3 linked regions of the Macaca mulatta genome follow. The protein of the gene in region 3 purifies or fractionates together with the protein of the main gene of each other region. This does not show direct contact. Links are inferred from orthologs where the notes say so. Each region holds a gene or a part of one and is shown on either strand. Other genes may lie near its edges. The genes, in order: RINT1, NBAS and BNIP1.

Evidence for each region.
Region 1: the proteins of BNIP1 (region 3) and RINT1 purify together in Homo sapiens (co-immunoprecipitation; 3 studies listed by BioGRID and IntAct, counting the BioPlex papers as one, with this or other methods). This does not show direct contact. The link is inferred for Macaca mulatta from reciprocal best matches to the Homo sapiens genes BNIP1 and RINT1.
Region 2: the proteins of BNIP1 (region 3) and NBAS purify together in Homo sapiens (co-immunoprecipitation; 3 studies listed by BioGRID and IntAct, with this or other methods). This does not show direct contact. The link is inferred for Macaca mulatta from reciprocal best matches to the Homo sapiens genes BNIP1 and NBAS.

Annotation. Positions count from the first base shown.
Region 1 is NC_133408.1:145,163,133-145,169,746, reverse strand, and holds the end of RINT1 (RAD50-interacting protein 1), read right to left. Parts: intron 5,385-6,614; coding exon 5,170-5,384; intron 3,809-5,169; coding exon 3,628-3,808; intron 3,556-3,627; coding exon 3,437-3,555; intron 1,648-3,436; coding exon 1,455-1,647; 3' UTR 1,094-1,454; downstream 1-1,093. UniProt on the Homo sapiens protein: Involved in regulation of membrane traffic between the Golgi and the endoplasmic reticulum (ER); the function is proposed to depend on its association in the NRZ complex which is believed to play a role in SNARE assembly at the ER.
Region 2 is NC_133418.1:109,395,855-109,402,468, reverse strand, and holds part of NBAS (NBAS subunit of NRZ tethering complex), read right to left. Parts: intron 4,599-6,614; coding exon 4,521-4,598; intron 4,131-4,520; coding exon 4,083-4,130; intron 2,199-4,082; coding exon 2,155-2,198; intron 1-2,154. UniProt on the Homo sapiens protein: Involved in Golgi-to-endoplasmic reticulum (ER) retrograde transport; the function is proposed to depend on its association in the NRZ complex which is believed to play a role in SNARE assembly at the ER. Required for normal embryonic development.
Region 3 is NC_133411.1:182,044,507-182,049,935, reverse strand, and holds the end of BNIP1 (vesicle transport protein SEC20), read right to left. Parts: intron 2,365-5,429; coding exon 2,168-2,364; 3' UTR 1,705-2,167; downstream 1-1,704. UniProt on the Homo sapiens protein: As part of a SNARE complex may be involved in endoplasmic reticulum membranes fusion and be required for the maintenance of endoplasmic reticulum organization. Also plays a role in apoptosis.

The sequences.
Region 1 (6,614 bases), on a different chromosome or scaffold from region 3:
ATAGGCTGCATGTTAGTCTGATAATTTTAAATTTTTTTTTTTTTTTTTGAGACAGAGTTTCACTCTTTTGCCCAGGCTGGAGTGCAGTGGTGTGATCTCGGCTCATGGCAACCTCCGCCTCCCAGGTTCAAGCAATTCTCCTGCCTCAGCCTTCTGAGTAGCTGGGATTACAGGCATGCGCCACCACGCCCGGCTAATTTCGTATTTTCAGCAGAGACAGGGTTTCTCCATGTTGGTCAGGCTGGTCTCAAACTCCCGACCTCAGGTGATCCACCCGCCTTGGCCTCCCAAAGTACTGGGATTACAAGCGTGAGCCACCGCACCCAGCCTAATTTTAGATTTTGAGATATTACAGGATTAAATCACTGCTAAGTCAGAGAAAAACCACTGGAATAAAATTTAATAGTTGTAGAAAGTTTCCAGGGAATCTAGCTCAATTTTTTAAGAAGTTTTACTCTGAGATTTTATTAGTTAAGAAGCTATTATTGAATATAGCCCAAGGTCAAGGAAAAGTTACAAGAAAAAAGAAACTTGAGATTTTTGTCTCATCAGTTACATAAATAATAATGTTTAATTACATTCCCTACCACGTGGGAATGTTTGAGTCAGAGTGCCATGGCCTGAAATGTTTCATCCAGAAAGAAAATGTTGCCCACTGTCAGACAGAATGAAACTAGGAAGCATTTAAAATAGAAGGACATTTGTGAGAAAGAAGAACAATCCTATCTTATTCACCATCTCACAATGTGGTTTTTTTTTTTTTTTTTTTTTTTTTAGAGACAGGGTCTTGTTCACTTGCCCAGGCTGCAGTGCAGTGTCACAATCACAGCTCACTGTAGTCTTGACCTCCTGGGCTCAAGTTATCCTCCCACCTCAGCCTCCCAAGTAGCTAGAACTACAGACATGCAATCAGGGTCTTGACATGTTGGCCGGGCTGGTTTTGCACTCCTGCCTCAAGCGATCCTCCTACCTCAGTCTCCTAAAGTGCTAGGATTACAGGAATGAGACACTGTGCCCTGCCAGTTTTCTTAAGGAAATATAGTGAATTCCCAAACTAGATACAGGTGCCTCAATTAAAATATGCATTCTAAAGTGAGTTTAAAAAAAAATTTATTGGCTATGTTTGATTATCCACAACAGAATTTTCCTTAATTAGCACAGGAAATTGAAAGTTGGTTATAATTTAATATCTCTGCTCTTGTCTTCAACAGACATACTCAGCATTTATACTTGTAAATAGAATGAGTTTTCATTGTTTCGTTTTCTGTTTTTGTTTCCTTAGGAACAAGAGGATGAAGGAAATATGGTCAGCATTTTAATAACGCCATAAATCCAAGATAATTAATCCTATAAAGTTTTCCAGTTTCATTAATTCAGAATTTCATCGTATAACTTGAAATCCAATTGGCTTCCTCTTAAAAACAAAAACCAAGAAAACGTTTTTCTGAAAGACATTATTTTCCAGTATTAGGCCAATTTGTCCTCAAATTAAGTAGAATCTCAACATCTTGTTGAGCCAGTTTGTAAATTCCAACTTCATTTAATGCTGCTGTGGCAGGAAGTTGCCCTGAAGTTGACTGCAGTACATCTTTCAGGAGTAGTGCAGAACCGACGTTCAAATTCAAAACAATACAGGCTTCTTTTATGCTGTTTAGGGAACACAAAGGAGGGAAATGAGATCTCCATTATCTGCATCAACCATTTTTTTTTTTTTTTTTGAGACGGAGTCTCGCTCTGTCGCCCGGGCTGGAGTGCCGTGGCGCGATCTCGGCTCACTGCAAGCTCCGCCTCCCGGGTTCCTGCCATTCTCCTACCTCAGCCTCCCGCCACCTTGCCTGGCTTTTTTGTATTTTTTTTTTTAGTAGAGACGGAGTTTCACCGTGTTAGCCAGGATGGTCTCGATCTCCTGACCTCGTGATCCACCCGTCTCGGCCTCCCAAAGTGCTGGGATTACAGGCTTGAGCCACCGCGCCCGGCCGCATCAACCATATTATAACAATTTTGAGAATCCTAAACAGCTTCTCTGTACTGCTGGTCCACATGTTCTCTATAAAAATACTTATGGATTTATTATTTGGTTCTTTTAACATGGTAAGACTACACAGGTGCAGAGTTTCTATTTCTTTAGATTAAGGTGATAGGATCCCTATTTCAATATGTATCCATTATTTCCCTAAATACAATACTTGATATTAATACTATATTAAATATGGCTATAACTTTAGGTAGATTAGAATATGGGAAAAGACAAAAATAAGGGATAAAATGAAGGCAGCAGAAAGAACATTAAATTTTAAAAGCTGTCATATGAAACATGTAAACATAAGCTTTCATTTTACAAGTTTAAAAGGAATGCTTTATAACCTCACAAAACCCAAACAGTTCAAATTTTACTTTTTTTTTTGAGACATCATCTTGCTCTGTCACCTAGGCTGGAGTGCCATTGCATGATCATAGCTCACTACAGCCTCAGTCTCCCAAGTAGCTAGGACTACAGGTCCATACCACCACATCTGGCTTTTTGTTTGTTCATTTTAATACTTTTTGTAGAGATGGAGTCTTGCTATGTTGCCCAGGCTGGTCTCAAACACCTGGCCTCAAGCAATTCTCCCACCTCTGCCTCCCAAAGTACTGGGATTACAGGTGTGGGCTACTATGCCTGGTCTATAATTTAAATTTTATATCAACAAATTCTCAAACTATAATTACAGTTAGAACCAAAATTAATGTCAAATGTTTAAGGAAACAAATTTCTTTCAGGCCTGGCCTATTAAGTATTAAACATATTTGTAATTTTTTTTGTTGTTGTTTTTTTGAGACACAGTCTTGCTCTGTTTCCCAGGCTGGAGTGCAGTGGTGCAATCTCAGCTCACTGCAAGCTCCGCCTCCCAGGTTCACGCCATTCTCCTGCCTCAGCCTCCCGAGTAGCTGGAACTACAGGCACCCGCTACCATGCCTGGCTAATTTTTTTTTTTTTTTTGTATTTTTAGTAGAGATGGGGTATCATCATGTTAGCCAGGATGGTCTCGATCTCCTGACCTCGTGATCCGCCCGTCTCGGCCTCCCAAAGTGTTGTGATTACAGGCGTGAGCCACTGCACCCGGCCCTGTAATTTCTTATATTTAGTGAATAGGGCACAACTTTTTTTCATTTTCGATTTATTCCTCCAGTAACCAAGCAACTAGAAGCATTAAACCAAATACTAGAAAACAAAACCCAGTATATAATTTATATCTAGTTCTGAAACCTTTTGAGGTCACGGGTCACATCTATCATTTTGGTTTCCCCATTGTGCTGTAAACATACAGTAGACAATGTTTTAAAACTTCAACTGATCTTATCCCACCCAAACATCTCCAGAACCCTAAAGTTAAAAGGAGTTAGCCTCCTGTAACAATTTGATACATTAATATTAATTGTTAAATGTTGAGCTTACTGTTTAAAATAATTTTCTGGTCTCTTGCAATAGTGAGAAAACAAAGGGAAAAGATTCCGAGTCATATCAAACTGCAGCTGGGCTGCTCCTCCTTCATTGAAGTGATTAGCAAGAATTATCTGAAACAAAGAATAATTCATTTAATGCTTGTCTTTATTATCACAGCCCAAAGACAGTCTATTCTTACTTACTTCTTGGTAGATGTATACATCCAGCTTCTCTACAAGCATTTGCCAGAAAATTTTAAATAAGGAGAAACAAAGCTGCTGCTCCAACTGAAGTAAATGGTCTCGTAAAGTCAGCAGTAAGGGGCAGGCCGAACTGGACAGGGACATCACTGCCTGCTCTGACTGAGATGGCAAGGACAACCATCTGGAAAAAACACATTTTTACCAAAAAATTTTCATTGGTTTGTATTTTTAAAGTTTTTAAGTCATTTTAAATTGGAGGAAGTGTTCTAGGGCATTTTGGATAAGAAAAAATACACAGTCCAACATTAAAAGCTCTATCAGAAAATAAATGTACCTGTATTTTATATTTTCACTCTCAAATACTCTTTAATATGGGGATATTTTGGAAATATCCCCAAATTTTAATATGGGGATTACCAATACAAAGCAATTACAATTTAAATGTCACTTAATTTTTGCATTTTATGTAGTTTTTGTTTTGTTTTGGTTTTTGGTTTTTTTTTTTTTTTTTGAGACAGAGTCTCGCTCTGTTGGCCAGGCTAGAGCCAGAGGGTTCAAGCAATTCTCGTGTCTCAGCCTCCCAAGTAGCTGGGATTACAGGTGCCCAGCACCACGCCCAGCTAATCTTTGTATTTTTAGTAGAGACAGAGTTTCACCACGTTGGCCAGGCTAGTTTCGAATTCCTGCTCTCAAGTGATCTGCCTGCCTTGGCGTCCCAAAGTGCTGGGATTACAGGTGTGAGCCACTGCACCCAACCTGATTTTAGCATTTTAATTAAGACATCAGCTAATATTATGCTCTGATTTTTAGTAAAATCAGGACGAATAACACAAATTTTTGGCACTCTGTGTGGCAGGGACTACACTAGGACAAAAAGATACTGCTTGCTATCAAGGATGAAAGTAACACAGGTGTTCACAGTGAATGGTAGTGGGATAAACCACAACAAAAGTATGCAGAGTACCACAGGTGACTTTACTTTGCAAAATGGGAGACAGGTTAGGCTATTCAACCCCATATCACACACTATCCTATTAATATATTTACAAACAGCTAAATTATAACCAGTTTATTCTGATTAAGAATGTCAGCGAGCCAGGTGTGATGGCTCACACCTGTAATCCTAGCACATTGGGAGGCCGAGGCAGTGGATTGCCTGAGGTCAGGAGCTGGAGATCAGCCTGCCAAAATGTGAAACCAGGTCTCCACTAAAACTACAAAAATTAGCCGGGTGTGGTGGTGCATGCCTGTAGTCCCAGCTACTTGGGAGGCTGAGGTGGGAAGATCACTTGACCTCTAAGGTGGAGGCTGCAATGAGCCGAGATCATGCAACTGCACTCCAGCCTGGGTGACAGAGTAGGACTGTCTTGAAAAAAAAAAAAAATGTCCAAGAACATATTTTAGAAAGATTTCCAACAATGAAGTTTAAAGTACATAAGGCCAAACCAGGTTCTATCTAGATACCTTGGAAATCTGACCACATATACCATCTTCAACTTTTACCAAACTGGTATTAAGAGCTGACTTACATAGAGGACATACCTTTCTTTTTTATACAATTTTGCAGCATCTTTAACTTCTCTAAAAACATGGTCTACTTGACGGGTCAACATATCATGCTTTAAACGCTCTAAGAGGTTAATCATGTCATCAAAGACGGAGCTCTCCATAGAGGCTAGCTGTCCCAGCTGCAATTTACTCAGAGTATTATTCTCTGCAAACACCTCCAGTGCAGCCTGTTGAAGTTGTAGAAAGAACTGAAAGCAAAAACATGTTAACACATTAACATACTTTTTTTTTTTAAACAGCTTGAAAGAGAATTCATATATCATACAATTCACCCATTTAAAGTGTATAATTCAGCTGGGCACGGTGGCTCACGCCTGTAATCCCAGTACTTTGGGAGGCCGAGGTGGGTGGATCACCTGAGGTCAGGAGTTCGAAACCAGCCTGGCCAACATTCCAACATTGTGACACCCCATCTACTAAAAATACAAAAATTAGCTGGGCATAGTGGCATGTGCCTGTAATCCTAGCTACTCAGGAGGCTGAATTGCGTGAACCTGGAGGGCAGAGGTTGCAGTGAGCTGAGATCATGCCTCGGCTAACTGCAACCTCCACCTCTACCTCCTGGGTTCAAGCAATTCTCCTGCCTCAGCCTCCTGAGTACCTGGGATTACAGGTGTGTACCATGATGCCCGGCTAATTTTTTTTTTTTTGTAGTTTTCGTAGAGATGGTGTTTCACCATATTGGTCAGACTGGTCTCAAACTCCTGACCTCATGATCTGCCCACCTCAGCCTCCCAAAGTGCTGGGATTACAGGCATAAGCCACCACGCTCGGCAGTACAAGTTTTTATGTGGACATATGTTTCATTTCTCTTGGTATGTACTGAAGAGTGGAATTGCTGGATCTTATGGTAAGTCTATGTGTTAACAGTTTGAAAGGCTGCACATGGTACCTCATGCCTGTAGTGCCAGCACTTTACGAGGCTAAGGCCAGAGAATCATTTTATAGTGAGACCTTATCTCTAGAAAAAAAATATTAGCTGAGTGTGGTAGCCACAGACCTGTAGTCCCCGCTACTCAAGAGGCTGAGATGGGAAGATTGCTGGAGTCCAGGAGGCAGAGCTTGCAGTGAGCCGAGATTGGGCCACTGCACTGTAGCCTGGGCGAAAGAACAAGATCTCATCTCAGAAAACAAAAAGACAGTTTGGGCCGGGCGCGGTGGCTCAAGCCTGTAATCCCAGCACTTTGGGAGGCCGAGACGGGCGGATCACGAGGTCAGGAGATCGAGACCATCCTGGCTGACACGGTGAAACCCCGTCTCTACTAAAAAAAATACAAAAACTTAGCCGGGCGAGGTGGCAGGCGCCTGTAGTCCCAGCTACTCGGGAGGCTGAGGCAGGAGAATGGCGTAAATCCGGGAGGCGGAGCTTGCAGTGAGCTGAGATCCGGCCAGTGCACTCCAGCCTGGGCGACAGAGCG
Region 2 (6,614 bases), on a different chromosome or scaffold from region 3:
TTACTATATAAATAATAAACAGGCTCCCAGGGCTTGGTAAAGTTAAGCTGAAAGTGATTCTTCTCCATCATGGCACTTAGTACAATTACAATGATTATCCGTTCTCTCTCTCTTACAGGCTGGGCACAGTGGCTCACACCTATAATCCCAGCACTTTGGGAGGCTGAGGCAGGAGAACTGCTTGAGCCCAGGAGTTTGAGGCTAGCCTGGGCAACAAGGCAAGAACCTCGTCTCTACAAAAAAATTTTAAAATAATAAAAAGTTAGCCAGGTGTACTGGTGCGTGCCTACGGTCTCAGCTACTCAGGAGGCTGAGGCAGGAAGATCGCTTCAGCCCACAAGGTCAGGCTGCAGTGAACCATGATCACACCACTGCCCTCCAGCCTGGCAAGAGAGTGAGGCCCTGTTGCCAGGCCCTATCTCAAAAAATAAAAAAAATTTTAAAAAATTAAAAATAACAGTATTTCCATGAGGGAGTGGGGGAATCTTCTGTATTACCATATTATAGTTCTGAAAACTACCAGTGCCTCCCACCTCCTTGCTCTCTATTGATGTCAAATATATATTTTATCCTAATACTGTTTTAAGATAAAATATTTATACTGCTGTATTTCTATTACACAAGAAAATCATATAAAGCCCTAAATACAGTGCCAGGCATACAGTAAGAACACTATAAATGTTTGTATATAAATGAACACAATGACCATGATTACCATCATTATACTTCCTACAACAATTACACTGTTAAACTAACACAAGATCAGACAGATGGAACTGCAGGTCCTGTAAATAAAACAAAGGTAATAGATGCATTTTCCTAAAACCACTCTCTTTCTCTCCCATAAGGTTCCTTCTACCTTTTCTTTTTTTTCTTTCTTTTTTGAGATGGAGTCTCACTGTTGCCGCCCAGGCTGGAGGGCAGTAGCGTGATCTTGGCTCACTGCAACCTCCTCCTCCTAAATTCAAGCGATTCTCCTGCCTCAGCCTCCTGAGTAGCTGGGATTACAGGCACATACCATTATGCCTGGCTAATTTTTGTATTTTTAGTAGAGACGGTGTTTCACCATGTTGGTCAGGCTGGTCTCGAACTCCTGACCCTGTGATCCACCCACCTTGGCCTCCCAAAGTGCTGGGATTATAGGCATGAGCCACCACGCCCAGCTCCTTCTGCCTTTTCATACACTGCTCCTGCAGACCGAAATACTCCCTGTCTTCTTCTACCTTCTAGTCATTCTTTTTTTTTTTTTTTTTTTTGAGGCAGAGTCTGACTCTGTTGCCCATGCTGGAGTCCAGTGGCTCAATCTTGGCTCACTGTCACCTCCATCTCCCAGGTTCAAGCGATTCTCTTGCCTTGGCCTCCCAGGTAGTTGGAATTACAGGCATGTGTCACCACGCCTGGCTAATTTTTGTATTTTTAATAGAGACGGGGTTTCACCATGTCAGCCAAGCAGGTCTCAAACTCCTGACCGCAAGTGATCCGCCCACCTCAGCCTCCCAAAGTACTGGGATTACAGGTATGAGCCACTGTGCCCAGACTACTCATTCTTAAAGTTGCTTTCCAAAAGTCATTTTTCTTTCTCAGCCATCTCATCTGCCACCCCTAGTTGAGAAATCTCATGGGATTTAATTTTTCCTTAATTAGATTTGTCAAAGTTTGTAATTATATATTTGAGCATCTATATGCTTCATGAGATAAAAGACCAGGTCTTTTTGCTCACAATCATACCTCAAGCACCCAGCAAAACAGCACATACACATAAATTACAGTCAGTAAATTTTTGCTGAATATATTTTAAACATGACCAAATCCTAGACTTTTTACTAGTCTGTTTCTAACTCTTGACTTACACCTATTTATTTCTGCATTTAATCCAAAATAAAAGGCTACAGACAGTTAAAAATACTTCATCCCAAAACTGGCTTAGACATTTTTTGGAACCCAGTTTCCAAATCTCACCAAAATGAACCATTTTAAAGCAAAATATTTAAGACAGTAAAAAAAAAAAAAAAAAAAGCAGTTATGTTGTTTAATTATTTTAATAGTCATGATAATCCTTAATAAACATTTAATATCTATCCTAACTTTTAAGAAACATTGTAAACCATTGCACATTTGAAATTTTCATTCTTTAAATATTTTGGAAACTCTTACCTTGACATTTCCCGATAATGGATGTAAAATCATCTTTTGCAGACCTGTAAAACATGTAAAATCAAGGCAAAAGTTTTATCATAACATTGTATAGAACCATAAAATACCAGATACTGTGGACTAGATAGTCTCTATATACAATGCTCAATCATTTCTCCTCTCAGACATGGTTTTGTGGCTCAATTATGACCCTTTTGTCAGTGACAATATTTTCTTCCAACCTTCTTATTGCATCAGATACACAGCTACTTTGTATGGAGATATATACATGGAATATAGTGACACAGCCTAAGTGAATTTACCATGGTCTTTTCATACAATAGAGATGTCTGGTCCCCATCCCTAAAGGTTCTGAATCAAGAAATCTGGGATGGGGCCCAAGCAAAAATATTTTTTTGCTGGATACATCAATCCTAATTAAGAACCACTGGTCTGTATCATATTACAAAGTTTGATCACTTAGGGGAAAAAAGTCGTATTTTAAGAAATCAAAGAGCCTTAATACGTCACCATATTTAAATCAATAACCTGTTTTAAATCTGTGATCCTGAAATATATACCAAGTAGCATAATTATTATAAAATATTTAAAAATGAAAACTGGCAAACCTTCTAGAAAATAATTTAAAAACAATTATCCAAAACCTTCATGTCGGTAGCGTTTGACCTAACAATTCTATTTCTATAAAGTTATCCCCAGGAAATAATTACAGATACATATGAATATCAAAAAAACTGGTATGGTCTCATTTATAAAGGAGGAAAATAATATCCAGTATAAAGAGATTAAACTTCGCTATGTGCACTCAAGGAAATATGGAATTACTACAGTTGATCCTTGAACAACACAGGTTTCAACTGTGCAGGTCCATGTCTATGTGGATTTTCTTCTACCTCTACCACTCTGAGACAGCAGGACCACCTTCCCTTCTTCCTCCTCCTCCTCAGCCCACTCCATGTGAAGATGACAATAATGAAGACCTTTATAACGGTCCACTTCCACTTAATGAATAGTAAATATATTCCTCTTCCACATGATTTTCCTAATAACATTTCCTAAAGAATGAACTCATTTTTCTTAGTTGCTATGGATATTTCTTTCATAACTGATACATTGTTTAAAAATAAAACACCTGAAAAGTCCAGTTTAGAGACGTCTTTAGATGTGTATATAATACCACTGAATGTCTCAAGACGACAGACAGCATAATTGGTCTCAAGTAATACGTAACCTTGGTCTTTTGAACACCCATATTCAATCTACAGTTTTGAACCAACAGAGCAAAACCATCCCTTTTTTTTTTTTTTTTTTTTTTGAGATGGAGTCTCGCTCTGTCGCCAGACTGGAGTGCAGTGGCACAATCTCTGCTCACTGCAACCAGTTCTCGGCTCACTGCCTCCCAGGTTCAAGCAATTCTCCTGCCTCAGCCTCCCGAATAGCTGGAACTACAGGTGCACGCCACCATGCCCAGCGAATTTTTGTAATTTTAGGAGAGTCAGGGTTTCACCATGTTGGCCAGGATGATCTCAATCTCTTGACCTTGTGATCCGCCCGCCGCAGCCTCCCAAAGTGCTGAACCATCCCTACTCTTTTACACCTTCCTGAGTGTCTGTTTAGCTGATGTAGCAGTAAATAGTCAAACAAAGTGATTTCCACAGTTCTGGAGGATAGGCCTCGTTTACCGAGAAAGTAAAATTTCTTAAGAAGCAACAGAATGATCTGGGGAAGGAGAAAGATAAGCATATAACTCTGAGAAAGCATCCTTAATTTTCCAACTGGCATAAGTTGGTGTTTGACACTCACAAAATTAAGTGAGTTAAAAATAAAATCCTTTTAAATATACCCCCTATAAAAATCTTAGTTTCCATTTACAGAGTAACAAACGTTTCTCAAAGGAAATCTTGAATATGAATAATATTAACAATTACCTGATTTCCACACACTGATCTTGAACAGCAGCCAAAAGCTTTCCATTGCTTTTATGGAGAAGAAAGAGGGGGAAGAAAATCTATTATCAATATCTGTAGCAGTTTTCAACACAGATGGAATTATTTAATAAGTTTAATAATTATTTAATAAGTTTAATTTTTAACTTTAATAAGTTAAAAATCATTTCTAAATTTGTTCACATGCTTTAATTATCCATCTTTTGACCTTACAATTAGATGAGGATATAGGTACAAAAGCATACGAAATGATTTAATACAGCATGAATTAACATGTTTAAACAATACTAAATATTTGCAACAAAGAGATTTACATACAATAAAAAGACTGAAAGCCATGAGGATTCCAAAATCAACATCCATAATGAAATGTAAAAGCAAATCCAGATAGAAACACATATGAATTTTACACTTCCTTACCTTGCTAGTACCAAATGCCAGTTTATTTGTTTATTAATCAAGCGAACCAGTCCATCAGGGAGCAAAAAAGGTGCAGGGCTGAAATTACAACACATTAGTTAGCTTAAAATCTACTCATGAAAACCACATATAAGCACACAAAGAGCACATATACTTACAGAGAGACAGAGAGAGATTTTTTTTCCATTAGAATATAAAATTTGAATATTAGCAAATCCAAAACCAAAAGTTACTATTTGGTAGCTGAAATTTGACCATATATATTTCTCTATTTCCAAAAAACACAGTGGTGTGTTCAAAGGTATAGTTATGTACTTCCCAGGAAACAGACATCTAGCATACCAATGACAGAGCAGAGTACACTTACACCAACCCTTTCTGCTCTAACTACCTAGGAACTCTGGCTCAGCTGTAACAAAAACAAATTTTAACATCGAGTTAAACTCACAAGAAAGAAAGATAAATTTCCAAGTACTAGAAATGAAAAGGTCACCGAAAGCTAGAATTGGGCACAGGGTAAAGAGAGAGACAAGGACTCAAAACAGGACTTAGCACGCAGGCTAGGAAATGAGCCATTGAACCAAAGAGAGGACAGGAGTTGGAAGTGAGAATCCTGCAAAAGCAATGACTGCACCAGGTCACTTAAGGAACCAGAAACACTTCACCATAGGCCCAGGGAGACTACAGACTCTCTTCTTCCCTGGAACCACGGTTCTGTGGAGGACCGGAATCAAATCTCCCATGAAAACGTGAAAGTCCAAGTCTGTACTACATGCAAGACCAGATTACAATTTCACTTTACTCACGTGATGGAAGAATCTGCAAGCGTAAGTTCAAAATAAAACCATTCACAAAAGACACGAAACTACCCACCATAAGTGATAAGTAGACACAGCAAATTAGAGGACTAATACCTGAAGAAATCAAGAAAACAGATGGAAAAGAAGAATAAAGAACATAATTCCATGAAAGAAAAATAGAAAAAAAATACATTATGGAAATCAGAAAAGACAAAATAGGATTTCAAAATGTTAGTGGCCAGGCGCGACGGTATGGGCCTATAGTCTCAGCTACACGGGAGGCTGAGGCAGGAGGACTGCTTGAGCCCAGGAGTTTAAAGCTACAGTGTACCATGATCTTGCCTGTGAAGAGCCACTGTACTACAGCCTGACCAACGCAATAAGACCCTCTCTTTAAAAAAATATATATATAAATATATATATATATGTAACACATTTATGCTCATTTTTTAAAACACAAAATAATATCAAAAGGCAGTTACAAAAATATAATGAAGATATGAAACATGTATGTGAATACTATCTATATGAGGATAATTTCCTCTGGAAGGGAAGGGAAAGGAGAAAAGTAAAGGACTTGAGATGTAACATTTTGCATAAAAAGAAAAAGAGCTAGTTGATACAGGTTTATTATATTGTCAATAATTCTCAGTATAATTAAAAGAAAAGAACTTTTTTAAAAAAATAAGAAAAAGCTACTTGAAACAAATATTGACCCCAAAACCTTTGGGTTTAATTACCATAAACTCAAGAGCACAAATGGAACAATAATCTTTTTGAAAGTAGCACATCATGAGACAGATTAATCACTTCATGGTGCATTTGCAACCTGTACAATGATCAACACAGCCAATTCAAGGACAAAGGCTTCTCAGGAGGAAGGGAGACAAAAAGATACCTTGTCTACTTATGATGCCTGATCATAAGGTTCTCATACAGAGGATAGGGCTTGTATCAGAGTTAACTTTTTGAGTCTTCCTTCTCAATAAATAACAAAAAGAATTATCAAGCAGTAACCTGAACAAGACAAGCTTAACATCTTATCCAAGGGTGTTCGGGACTAACAAGTTGTCACCTGGAGAGGTCAGAAAACACAGCCCACCTCCCATACTCCTATCCTCTACTTCCACTCTCTCTTCCTACTCATTGCTCTATCCTATCATAGCCCACACCCACAAAAAAGTGATACAATTAAGTATAGAAATTGTAAATATGCATACATATATACATATATATACATATGTATGCACATACACACATACATAGAGTAAAAGCAGAAAGACATTGGAGCAAG
Region 3 (5,429 bases):
ATGTCTTTTGGGGCCAGGAATTGTTTAAGGATGATATACAGCCTACAAAATATCTGTGCTTGCGTGTGTGTGTGTGTGTGTGTGTGTGTGTGTGTGTATTTAGAATCCACTCATGAAGCTAGTCTGAGATGTGCAGCTAGGTTTTTGTAACTTGGTGCCATGATGATCTGCCACTTTATAACTGAGGCCATAACTCTTGACATCCTCTGCTCAAACACCTCTAACAGAATGCTGGTGCCTGGCCCAGCTTTTCCTGAAGCACCTCTGCTGTCAGCTGCAGAAAATCTCAGTGCCCAGGGCCCTGGGGGTGGCAGCATTTGGAAACGCCATGGCAGGCCTGGTCTGAAGACAGCTAGCTACACTTGCTGCTTTATATTCTCTTTGCATTCTCAAGTTGACTCTATGAGGACCCATATGGACTATCTCCTCCATTTTACAGATGGGAAAACTGAGGTTTAGCAACATATGGTAACTTGCTAATGGTCCTGCGGTCCATTAGCAGTGGAGCCAAATCTCAAAACCAAGTGTTTGAGCCAAGGGTCAAAGTCCATGTTATTTCCACTTTCCCTTCAGCCTCCACACTGCCCCTCCCAAGTCCTCTGGGGCTATAAATAGTGGGGGAGGCTGGGATTTCAAGCTTGAGGTCAGCCAGGCCTGTAGCACAAAAGACACAGCACCTCTAGGGCTGGCCTAGCCTGGGCCCTCTCCCTCTGGCCTGGACAGAACTCGGGCTCACAGTCTCAGCTTCTCACTAGCTTCTCCCTCCTTCGTTATACTTAGCTCTGGACATCAGAGAGAAAGGCATGTGCCAGCCCGAATCACTGCACACCCCCAGGCCTGGCCAGGCTGCTGTGGTAGAGAAAGGCATCTCTCAACCTTTTCAGATGTTGGTATGAGCCACTTCCAACAAGGGCTGTTTTCTGTTCTGTTTCTGTTTTTTGTTGTTGTTGTTGTTGTTGTTTTAATACAGACAGGGTCTTGCTATGTTGCCCAGCTGGTCTTGAACTCCTAGGCTCAAGTGATCATCCTGCCTCAGCCTCCCAAAATGCTGGGATTAGAGGTATCACTCACTACACCTGGTTGAACAGGGGCTGTTGGACCCTCCTTCCTGATAGTCTGGAAGATTTTATTTCTGTGCCTCCTTCTGTTCCTCCTTGAGGGAGGAACCACGTCTGGTTTACCAATGTATTTGTAATGTTCAGCAGTGTCTGTAACACCCTGTGCGTGGCAGCTATTTAATAGTTCCTTGTTGTTGGGTGGCGACAGAAAGAAAATTAATAATGATAATTCTTTGTTGAATGAATGAATAAATAATCTAAGTTCATGTCCTAGAAATCCAGACATCAAGAAAAGAGGGCCGGGCTTGGTGGCTCACACCTGTAATCCCAGCACTTTGGGAGGCCAAGACGGGTGGATCACCTGAGGTCAGGTGTTTGAGATCAGCCTGGCCAACATGGAGAAACCCTATCTCTACTATAAAAATACAAAAATTAGCAGGGTGTGGTGGTGCATGCCTGTAATCCCAGCTACTTGGGGGGCTGAGGCAAGAGAATCTCTTGAACCCAGGAGGCAGAGACTGCAGTGACCCAGGATTGCACCATTGCACTCCTGCCTGGGCAACAGAGTAAGTCTCCATCTCAAAAAAAAAAAAAAAAAAGAAAGAAAAGAAAAAAGGAAAGAGGAACACACATTCTCAGAGGGCTACCTTACAAAATCCAATACATTTTATTCTATTAAATAAAATCAAGTTTATTCAAGGAATGACCAGGAGTTTTCATCACCTTTCTTCCTACCTCTTCTCTCTTCACTCCACCAGATCTGGCATTTAAGGGCACGGTGGGAGAGGGAGACAGGTGAGGCATCGGGTCCTGGAGGCTGGACTTTAAGTGCCCCACAGAGTGGCCGCAGCCTCCCATAGTGCACGATGAGGGAAGGAGGCAGTTCCTATGTCCCCAGGGCGGCATCCCAATGACAGGCCTCCCTCCCATGGTTCTGTTCACCCTTTACAAGCCAGCCACTTGCGGAAAAGTGGGGCACTATGTTCCATCCAACCTGCAGGCAAGTGGCACAAATGGAGGGGTGTGTGGCTCAGCTTGGCAGCCTAGAGCTCAGGAACCAGGATCCTGAAACAGGAGCTGAAAGGGCCAGAACTGGCACCTTTGGGATCTCACAAAAACGGAAAGAGCCGCTTTTTCACGATATAGAGGACCGTAGCAAGAAACAGAGCCAGCGCAAGGAAGATGAGAAGCTTGTCCGTCAGCTCCCGGCGATTGTATTTTGTGATAAGCTTCCGGCCCAGCTGGATGGTCCCTGACATGGACTTAAATTCTTCATTTGCATCCAGGATCGTTCGTGAAGAAGTGACTGAAACAAGAGAGGAAGGAGGCCTAACTCAGAGAGACTGCAGCTCAAGATCCAAAGACCTCACCCTGCTGGCTGGGACGCTGACAAAAACCAGCATTCTCGAGCGAGTTCCTCTGAGCTGGAATCAAAGCATGTGGAGACCAGCCAAGGAGCGGACAAGGAAAGGCTCCTCCCCAGGTCCCATCAGCTCGAGCGAGTGAGGCGGTTTGTTTGGGAGTCCTCGAACGTGAATGTCACCAGGGAGAAGGGCAGAAGAGGCTTGCTCCCCCAGCCACCTCCTCAGCTCTCTGAAGCAGATGGACGCTGTTCAGGGGAACCACCAGCCATAAAACCAACCCGAGGATCTTGGGCGGGCACTGTGAGGTCTGTGTTGGGGCAGCAGCCGAACGCACCAGAACCTTCCACCTGTGAGGTGTGGCCTCTAGGACATCTGCTGGCCAGACTGGCTCTTTGCAGGATCTCAAAAGGGCAAGGGTATGCCAGGCTCTGCCTTAAGCCCTCACACATACCAGTCCCTCAGTCCAGGGACACTGGCTGTAGCTTTAAGAAGGTGACACCTAAGAAGAGGCCAATATCCCTTAAGGGATCATTGTGCCCAGAGTCAGATGTATTTCTGAATATGGGTATCTGGGCATGACGCTGAGGGTAGAAGGTGTACCTGGCGAGATTCTCTCACAAAACAGAGTGAGGCATCATCAGAACAGCCACTGAATAGAATACGTTGAGCGAAAAGGGAAAGTGTAAAGGAACACCTGTGAAATGTTTCCATTTAGGTAAGAAACAGGGAGATAAAATAGTATTTCATTTGCTTAAGTTACAAAAGCTTGGAGGATCACAAGATATTTTTTTAAAAAGACACTGGTAACACTGGTTGCCTCTGGGAAGTGGACCAGAGGGCTGGCAGGTAGGGGTCAGCTGGAGGTCAGAACAGACAGTGACCTTTTCTCTGTCCCTTTTGTACTGCCCAGAGCTGTGCTGGCCAATATGGCAGCCCCTAGACATGCAAGGCTGCTGTGCATAGAAAAACGTGGCTAATCCAAATGGAGATGTCAGTGAGCGTCAAATCCACAAAATGTTTTTTTGTTTGTTTGTTTGTTTGTTTGTTTGTTTTTTGAGACGGAGTCTCGCTGTGTCTCCCAGGCTGGAGTGCAGTGGCATGATCTCGGCTCACTGCAAGCTCCGCCTCCCGGGTTCACGCCATTCTCCCGCCTCAGCCTCCCAAGTAGCTGAGACTACAGGCGCCCGCCACCACGCCCGGCTAGTTTTTTTTTGTATTTTTAGTAGAGACGGGGTTTCACCATGTTAGCCAGGATAGTCTCGATCTCCTGACCTCGTGATCCACCCGCCTCGGCCTCCCAAAGTGCTGGGATTACAGGCTTGAGCCACCGCGCCCGGCCTGTTTGTTTGTTTTTGAGATGCAGTCTCACTCTGTCATCCAGGCTGGAGTGTAGTGGCATGATCTTGGTTCATCACAACCTCCACTTCCTGGGTTCAAATGATTCTCCTGCCTCAGCCTCCCGAGTAGCTGGGATTACAGGCATGCACCACACGCCCAGCTAATTTTCTTCCTGTATTTTTAGTAGAGACGGGGTTTCACCATGTTGGCCAGGCTGGTCTCAAACTCCTGACCTCAGGTGATCCACCCGCCTCAGCCTCCCAAAGTGCTGTGATTACAGGTGTGAGCCACTGTGCCTTGCCAAAATCCACACAATGTTTCAAAGACTTAATATGAGAAAAAGGGCCAGGTGCAGGCAGATCACGAGGTCAGGAGATCAAGACCATCCTGGCTAACATGGTGAAACCCCGTCTCTACTAAAAATACAAAAAATTAGCTGGGCGTGGTGGCGGGTGCCTGTAGTCCCAGCTACTCGGGAGGCTGAGGCAGGAGAATGGCGTGAACCTGGGAGGCGGAGCTTGCAGTGAGCCGAGATGGCGCCACTGCACTCCAGCCTGGGCAACAGAGCGAGACTCCTTCTCAAAAAACAAAAAAGAGAAAAAGGAATGTAAAATATCTCAATAATTTTTAATATTAGTTGTATGTTGAAATTACAATATTTTACATAATGGATTAAATAAACTATTTTATTAAAATTAATTTCTTATGTTTCTTTTTACTTTTTAAAATGTGCCTACTAGAAAATTTAAAGTTCCATATGTGGCTCCTGTTATGTTTCTGCTGGCAGTCCTGGGCTCGAGTTTTTACCCTTCTCTATGTTGTATGTGTTACCTTTTCACAAAATTAAAAGCTAACAAGTGAATAAGATAAATTATCAGAGGAAACACAGCAGCGTTTTGAAAATGACAGATAAAAGGAGAAAAACAAACACAGAACAGGAGTCCTCCTCTGCCCGCTTTCTCCACGCCTGCCTGCTGCGATTTCAAAACCCTGAGGTCTTGCTAAGTAAAAACCTAATAGGCCTTTCTTTTTAAACTTTATTATTACGGAGAATTTCGAACCATCACAAAGCAGACAGCATGATATCATGAAATGTCATGTGTCCACCACCCATAACTAAGGACCACCAACCTCTGAAATCCTGTCCCCCTCTCCCACAACTCCCAACTCCTGCAATTGTACAGCAAATTCCAGATACCATATTCCTAATAAGCTTTTTGTTTCAAAATTATGGTCCTAGTAGGCTTTTAAATCAAGCTGAATTTGTGAGGCATAAGGAAGGGGTTAAGAACTGTATTCTTCTCTTTTCTTCAATAGCTATCGCTTCTACAAAATGGGCCCCGAGAACACAGGGACCCTCTCAACACCCCAGGAGCCACCAGCATTTGTGTCTCCTTCCCACTCTTAGCAGGGGGTATCCTGTCACCACACCACAGCATAAAAGCCCTGGACTCGGCTGGGCGCAGTGGCTCACGCCTGTAATCCCAGCACTTTGGGAGGCCCAGGCAGGCGGATCACGAGGTCAGGAGATAGAGACCGTCCCGGCTAACACGGTGAAACCCCGTCTCTACTAAAAATACAAAAAATTAGCCGGGCGTGGTGGCGGTGCCTGTAGTCCCAGCTACTCGGGAGGCTGAGGCAGGAGAATGGCGGGAACCCAGGAGGCGGA